2 linked regions of the Oryzias latipes genome follow. The protein of the gene in region 2 binds, or shares a complex with, the protein of the main gene of each other region. Links are inferred from orthologs where the notes say so. Each region holds a gene or a part of one and is shown on either strand. Other genes may lie near its edges.

The links.
Region 1: the proteins of sympk (region 2) and ssu72 are in contact, whole or in part, in a crystal structure (PDB 4H3K), measured with the Homo sapiens proteins. The link is inferred for Oryzias latipes from reciprocal best matches to the Homo sapiens genes SYMPK and SSU72. Residues at the interface, in NP_004810.2 of Homo sapiens: Val123, Lys127, Leu131, Gln135, Asp175, Asn176, Asp177, Gly178, Thr181, His182, Lys185, Glu188, Pro204, Arg205, Arg206, Gln207, Ser250, Ile251, Thr254, Thr255, Asn262, Ala290, Ser292, Gln293, Ser295, Ser296, Lys299, Asn300, Leu303, His304; in NP_054907.1 of Homo sapiens: Glu113, Tyr116, Asp117, Val120, Asn124, Glu127, Gln128, Glu129, Thr130, Cys131, Gln132, Pro133, His135, Asp167, Glu169, Asn170, Asp173, Gln177, Glu180, Thr186, Phe187, Leu188, His189, Thr190, Val191, Phe193.

Annotation. Positions count from the first base shown.
Region 1 is NC_019863.2:1,925,684-1,929,602, forward strand, and holds the start of ssu72 (RNA polymerase II subunit A C-terminal domain phosphatase SSU72), read right to left. Parts: upstream 2,932-3,919; 5' UTR 2,733-2,931; coding exon 2,653-2,732; intron 2,018-2,652; coding exon 1,874-2,017; intron 636-1,873; coding exon 496-635; intron 414-495; coding exon 295-413; intron 212-294; coding exon 110-211; 3' UTR 1-109. UniProt on the Homo sapiens protein: Protein phosphatase that catalyzes the dephosphorylation of the C-terminal domain of RNA polymerase II. Plays a role in RNA processing and termination. Plays a role in pre-mRNA polyadenylation via its interaction with SYMPK.
Region 2 is NC_019879.2:16,691,851-16,695,769, reverse strand, and holds the start of sympk (symplekin), read left to right. Parts: upstream 1-1,555; 5' UTR 1,556-1,819; intron 1,820-2,026; 5' UTR 2,027-2,064; coding exon 2,065-2,127; intron 2,128-2,587; coding exon 2,588-2,653; intron 2,654-2,764; coding exon 2,765-2,818; intron 2,819-2,916; coding exon 2,917-2,990; intron 2,991-3,086; coding exon 3,087-3,213; intron 3,214-3,310; coding exon 3,311-3,560; intron 3,561-3,669; coding exon 3,670-3,840; intron 3,841-3,919. Other genes in the region: slc35f5 (solute carrier family 35 member F5), read right to left, coding at 363-504, 1,275-1,333. UniProt on the Homo sapiens protein: Scaffold protein that functions as a component of a multimolecular complex involved in histone mRNA 3'-end processing. Specific component of the tight junction (TJ) plaque, but might not be an exclusively junctional component. May have a house-keeping rule.

The sequences.
Region 1 (3,919 bases), on a different chromosome or scaffold from region 2:
GTGTGCGCGCGTGTGTGTGTGTGTGCAGGCACACAGGTCAGGTGACGTCCACATTCGGTCGCCTGATTGCTCTGGATCCTGGTTTTTATTGCAAGCTGCCCTCTGTGTGTCAGTAGAAGCAGACGGTGTGAAGGAACGGCCTGTTACTCTTGTCCTCGAACTCTTGCAGGAGCTCATCGATTTCGTTCTCCATGTCGTCGGTGTGCTGGATCTGCAGAGAGACCCAGGATGAGACAGAACCACGGCGGTGGCGGTCGGAAAGTGGGAGAAACAAACCGGAGAAGGGCCACTCACACACTGACACAGCTCACAGATGAGAAAGGCACCCAGAGTGGCTTCCTCGTGGTTGTCCTGAATGTCTACGTTGATCACGTGCACAGGCTGCATGGTTTCCTGCTCTCTCGAGTTCAGATCTGAGAGAAAAGACAAGATCATTTGGAAAAGGCCTTCAAAAGGAGAGACTCCCATCTTCTCCCTGGATCAGAGAATCCTCACCCTCCAGTACTTGGTCATAAACCCTCTCCTCACAAGTGATGACCAGGTCAAACTTCTCCTTGCATAGCTGGAAGCGCTCCGGCTTGGACTTGATGCGCTTGTTGCGGTCCAGCATGTGCAAAATGCCGTTCTGTGTATATCTGAAGGGGGAGGAGGTCAAGGAAACATGGAAGCAGAGGAAGAACACAGACGGTTCCTCAACAGCACACAGAAACCAGCCTCTCACGCAGCAAGCGTCTGCATTCTAAACCGCTGACGGGTCACCCCGCCAGCTGCAGGACACGCCTGAAGGTCAAGCGTCTTTTGGCGCCCCCATGTGGTCAACTCAAGTAACTACGCAACTCTGCCTTCGAAAAAGGAATAGAAACTTTGGAGAATAAATTAAAGATTTAATTTAAAGGTCACCAGAAATGTATTCTAACAATGTTTAACTGACAGGTATTGTTTTAAGAAACATGATCCTGTAGCCATCATCATCATTACTACTCAGTCCACTTGAGGCAAAATGTTCAGCCCAATTCTCTGTTTTAGTCTTGCAGAACCTCCAGTTCTTCACGTTAGAACATATCCAGAAGGAAACTGTTCCTGCAAAACAAATCTGAAAGATTTCCACCAGCTTTAACCAACAGATCCAATAACAGCTGGTTTCTTATATTTGAACAGTTTCCAAATCGTTGGCGAAAACCTAAATATTTTACAGGAACAAATAACACCTGATTAAATATTTAAAGAAAAGTTCACGTTACGTCCTTTAGGGATTTAAATCATAACTAAAAGTGCAGATTTCAGACTATGAAAGAACAGGTTTTACACTAAAATAATACTTTTTTTCCTTTTAGTTCCTAATTCCAACCAGCAGTCTGATGAATCCCAATCTGGCATGAATGAACATCATGGCAGCTGAAAACTCCTGGTTTTAGTTTCCCACAGATGAGAAGCTTCCAGAACTTTTTTTGCTTCCATTTTTATTCATTTTGCACTCCTGACAGTTTGCTCCTTCCACGCCTTACTCTGAGATTACTTAGCAAAGGAATGGAACCAGCAGCATATTTATGCCTAGACCCAAAGCAACTTCGAGAAAAACAAGTGCATAAATATTAAACGTGTGCTTCACGCGGCCTCATGACTCCCCGAGAGCACTTACTGCTGCTACAGCTGCTGCAGTACATGGCGATCCTCCGTCCCACTTTGTGTAAGCGGTTATCAGTCACACTTTAGGAATTTTTTTGTTTTTTTTGTCATCTGTGCTCTCCCAAAGGCACAAACTCCACACAGATACATGTACATTCAGATGCACCGTTTACTGGGGTCTCCAATAGACATGTGCACGCGCGTGAGGCAGCGGAGGGAGGGTGAGTGAGTGGGCAGGCGGGGATACAGTTCCTTGTCCTTGCGGACCAAGTCGTTGTACATCTGTTCATAAGTGGTTTTGAAGTCGTACACATTGGGCTTATCCGGAGCCGGACCAGGCAGCTTTACATGAGACCCCGTCCCAAACGATCGCACTTCAAATCCACGCTTACTGCAAAGAAAAAGAAACAGATTGGTTAGAAGGCAGCAGGCAACCACAGAACAACATTAATTTTGTCACTAGTTAGTAACCCTAAAAGTTTGCTCCAACTACATTTTTTTTTAGTCTCTGGGAATGATCAAAAGTAAAAAAGATTTTTTAAGAAATAACATTTTCTTTCAAATGATAACTAGTGGCATTGGTTGATTAACAGGTAAACTTGGATCTGTAGCTCCTTCAGAGCAGTGATTTTGCGTTACAAAATCCCCGCCTTGTGTTTACGGACAATGACCGACAGAGGGCGCTGCTGTCAACAAATGGGTCGGGGAATGAAGGAAGCTCCTCATGGGGCTTTAAGAAAAACTAAAAAAAAAAAAAAAACACTCAAGTTTTTTCCCCTATACAAGTTATTGCTGTAATTTGGGCGGTAAATAAAACTCCTTGAATCCAGCCGGAAGTGCGCAGCGGCGTCTCTAAACCCTGAAAAGCGCGTCCATTGTTAAACTGCGGTGAGGCCCGACGGGCTGCGCCGCCGCCGTCGACGCGCATCCCAACAGGCGGAAGCTAACCGCTCGGTACTGCGCTACTCTCGTCAGTCACTTCGTGTCAGGCTTCGTGTCGTCCTCCTCCCGGCGGCCATCCGTTACCTGAGGATACTGTGCGCTTCCATACTGCGGTTCTGGTTGCTCGAGCACACAACCGCCACACGGAGCGGGTGGCTCGGCATTGCGACTCTTCAACTGAAACTGAACGACACAAGTGTCTGGAGCTAAGACGAAGCAGTTACTCAGACTCCTGTAAAAAAACACAAAAACCAAACAAATTAAGCTCTTTCTGATCAGGTAAACTAGCTGGCGGTTTGACAAGCAGAGCTACGCCACGGCGGCGTCTCCCGTGGAAGCAGGAAGTTAAAATGGCGGAACTCCGCAAATTGACTGGGGCTTTATCTGTGATGTCATTGGGGGCGGGGTCTCCTACTGAGTTCAGTTGTGATCACGTGACAAACATTCAAAATGTTTTTTTGTAAACCGCACCTTTAACGTTTTTATTCTTGACTTAAAATATTACGGTGGATTATTATGACTGAACTTCCACTAAAACATAAGAATAAGAGAGAAAAGATCTCTACAGGGGAGTTAATTATTTGTATTTTTATTGGTCAATAAGTTCTTAAAATAGCTTTTATTGGTTTTATTTTTTGTTATTCTCCATGATAAAAGCGTTCTTTTTTTCAATTTTATGAGATTTGGTGAATATATACTAGTCTCCTGTCAGTAATTATCATGCATTGAAAGGGTAAAAAGTACAACTGATAATCGTTTTAGTTCATGAACAACCACGACTTTCAGAAAACCTTGAAGATTTTTATCAAATCTCTGTTTTTCCCCTAGATGTCAACTATGGATGGTTGACTTTTAATCTGTTTTAAAAGCCAAATCCCTTTTTGATTAAATTCTTATGGAAAATTACACTTTTGCCTTCTGTGCAGATCCAAACACTGATCATTTTTGGATTCAAAAGTCTCATGCAAGACATGAAACAGTGCAGTCATCCAAGTAATCCAGAAAAAGTCTTGAAATGAACAACATATAAATGGGTTAGGTAAAAAGCCTACTTCAATCTAAATTTTGGTTCCCAACAATTTAAATCAAATGGTTTTGGAATGAATTAGGTATGAAATAATCTTTTTTTTTTTTAAATCAATGAACAGGTACGGTGGGGCAGTGGTTAGCGCTCTCACTCACAGCGAGAAGGCCCTGGTTCAAATCCTTCCCGTTTGCATCTTCTCCCTGTGCATGTGTGGATCAGGTCCCACCTGAACATTTCGTGAATAAAAACAATTTTAAGCTAAACACAAGTTCAGGCCAATTCTAGATAAAATCATTGGCCGTCAACGGAGTTAATGAAGCAAAA
Region 2 (3,919 bases):
TGTAGAAAATAAATCCTTTTTTCAGTGCTACCTTACCCAAATTCTTCCATATATATTTTTTTTTGTCTGTTTCATCAATGTCAAATCTTTAATGTTTACTGAAGCTATGCTGTAAAAAGCCAGAAGAAATGCACATACAGATGTTTTGGAAATACATTTTTTACAAATAGAATTTGAGTCAACTCGAGGAACTGGCTTAGTCAGTTTGGATTTGCCAAACTTTGACTGATTCGAACTTAAACTACTCTAATTCCTGTAAGACTTTGTTAAGATACTGTGAGGACGTTCTTGTGTGTTTGTCTCAGTAGAGTTTTGTTACACACTAAATGACAACCCACAGACAGCTGACAGACTGTCCTTACTGAGGTTAGCTCGGAGGAAGCCACCCAGATGACATCCACCAGAAGGAGTATCACCACCCCTAAGGCCATCCTCCTCCGCTGGGCTGTAGAGCTTCCCTGAGAGCTCATCCGGTTCATGATGAAAACCCACTCCATTGAGACCCTATAACAGACACATGACATAGAGGGGAAAACGAATATGATATTTTTTCCCTCTTTTTATTCTACTGTATGCTTTGCTGGAGGGACAAGGCAACAATGCCACTGTACATTGCTCTAAAGGTACAATTTATAAGAATATACCATGACAGATTCATATAGACTTTTAAGACAAGGTAAAAATGAAAAAAAGTTCCTTAAGACTGGGAAACCAGTCAAAGGCCTTTCCTACAGGTTTTTCCAATGAAGACCGTGGTTAACTTAACTAACACGTTGCAGGAAATACGCTTGTAAAGCATCACTAACAACAATACTCATAAACGCGTGTTACAAGTGATGATGTGCGTGTTTTCTACTAGACCTCCGCCTCTTTAAACAAAAATTCTGTTGCATGTTCATGTGGCAATGAATGTAAAACATAAGTGGTCCCAATGAGAATCAAAACTATGAGCACGAAACCGTCTGCAATTTAAAGATGTAAAATTAACTGATTTATTACGATACGACGTTCTGTATATTAAAAACAAAATAAGCACAGTTTTTACTAGCTGTATCCAAAACAAGCTTCGCAGTGGTACGTTTTAGCTGCCTGTTTTCCAAGCTAACTAAGAGCTAGTAAAATGTCCTACAAACAAAGTAACAAAAGCAATAACAGCGGCGTGTTCACCCGAATGCGAGGCGTATTCATTCACTTTTCTTCATTAGTTGATGTCCGATTGATCTTTTACATTACTGTTTCTAAAAAACAACACGTTTTAAACGAGAATATTTTACCACTCCAGCGGTTGTAAACATAAGCACTTCCTTGTCTTGTTATTAGCATCAGGTGACATCACTTATCCCGCTAAGCCTCATGGGACTTGTAGTTAAATGGTGATCGATTAAAAACATTTGAAATGTGTCTATGGCACATATTTTGTTTCCCATGTGATGTAAACAATACTAGTGTTCTTATTAATAGTTAAAAAATAAATAAACAAAAATAGCTTAGAGGCACACAAATCCAGCAGGAGGCGCTGCTTTTATTTGAGTATCCGAAAACAGCCGAAGAAGAACCGTACCATAGCTTCTTCGATGAAATATGGCGGTAGCTTTGTTTGCTTGCTAGCAAAGTTAATTCATATATTTAATAAGTACTAAAACAAGGCAAATCTTGTTGTCTAATAGATCATATTTGTAATTACCCGTTTAATACAAGAGTTAGTGTATCTATAACGCAGTTGGCTTAGTAAAGTAGATTATTATTTTATCGTTTTGGCTAACCTAATGTTACGAGCTAACTAACTGGATTCATTCTCATCATTCTGGTAATCGTGTAGGTAAGTTAGAAAAAAATACTGACTTGCGTATTGAAATTTGTTTATTTAAGTATTATCAATTGAATATGTGTTTCTGTAATACATACGAATGTTTGTAGTCTGACTTAAAACGTTCAGTAATTTGAATTAAAATATAGATGTTATGCGTAATTCTCGTATTGTTATGTATGCTCTAAATTATTATTATTATTTCTGTTTTCCTTTCAGGATCATGCAAGATTATTACTGACTGGAACATCAGCAACATGGACATTTCTTCTAAGGCGGAGGACACTCCGAAAGGGGTCGATATGACCACCAGTGAAAAGGTCTGTACAATTAGCACAAGATGAAAGATTTGTTTACAATCTCAGGGACAACAACACAATCTGGAGGTAGCAGACTTTAAAACAGAAATATTTTAATCTGAAATTGTTCATATAAAGCATTTTAAGTCTTAAAATATACATCTAGAAACACAACAAATCATTAAATGCTTTTTGTGTGATGCAAGTTAAATCTTGATCTTGCTATCTAAACATTCTTTATTTTTTAATCTGCCATCGATTTTGTTCTGATAAATTGCAATATATAAGAAATATTTACAATTGCTGCAGTTTAATCTAAATGGGGCTGTAGTCTACATTTGCAGTTGTCTGGGGTTAATAGCTAAGAACACCTCATTTGGCTCAAACATGCTATATAGTAGAAATTATGCTAATATTTTTTGGCTGGTTAGCCTCTTATTGTAGCGTTGTAGAGACTTACTCTGGTTCTTTCTTTTCTCAGGTGGTGGAGCTTCTGAATCAAGCTTCTCTCATACCCACTGATGAAAAGCTGACTGCTCTCAAACAGGTTGGTAGTGTAAATCTGTGCAGTTTAGATGACTGCTACACAGCAGCACCGACTGAGGTGCTGATGAGGTGGTTGTAAGAATTTGAAGTCACGCGTTTGAATTTCCTTTAGGTTCAAGAGCTCATCATCAACAAGGATCCGTCCCTTCTTGACAACTTTTTGGATGTAAGTAAGCACCTGCCTTTCATGGCAAAGGAATGGTAAGCGTGTAAGTTAAAATCGGCCCAGTCATGTTCTTGTATCTTGCCAATTCTATTTTACAGGAAATAATAGCGTTTCAGACCGACAAATCAATAGAAGTGAAAAAGTTTGTCATTGGATTTATAGAGGAAGCATGGTTAGTTGTTTGTGTCAACATTTTACATCTTATACACTTTTAAATGTATGTATATTTATTGAAACTCTTTTTTTTTTATATCTATTTCCCAACTAGTAAAAGGGACAATGAGCTCCTTGTTAGACTTATCGCCAATCTAAACATGCTGCTGAAGGATGAAAGTGTAAATGTGGTGAAGAAAGCCATTCTGACACTCACTCAGCTCTATAAAGTAACATTACAGGTATGCACCTTAAAGTCACTCGCATAATTTCCTGCTAAAATAATAGGAATACGGTGTTTTTATGTTCCCACATCTTCTGTTGTTTCTTTTCTGCCAGTGGTTGGTCAGCTCAAAAACACTGTCAGAAATGCAGGAGGCATGCTGGGACTTGATCACTCAAATGAAAGGGGAAGTGTTGGCCTTGCTGGACTCCGACAATGATGGTGTTCGCACACACAGCATCAAATTCACAGAATCTTTAATCATCACTCTCTCGCCGCGGACACCTGACTCTGATGTACCCAAACGCCAGGATGCTGACATTAGCCTTGACAAAGTTCCCAAAGACCATTCGTACATTCACTACGGTAAAGATTTTAGAACTCTCTTTTTTTTTTCTTTTTTTTTTTTTTAAACAGGCATGTTAAAATCTTTCTTACTGCAGGATAGATTTATTACATTCTGTTGAATCAACAGGTACTTTGTGTGAAGAAGGAAAGAGTGCACTGGAAAAGCTCTTAAAATTCATGGTCCACCCAGCTATATCCAGCATTAACCTCACCACTGCATTGGGTTCTTTGGCAACGATTGCCCGTCAAAGACCAATGTTCATGTCAGAGGTGGTGCAAGCATATGAGACCCTCCACGGTGAGTGCTTCTTAGTCAAAAAAATATATATTATCCCCTTAACATTATTATTAAGGTGCAATCATTAATATTTATCTTT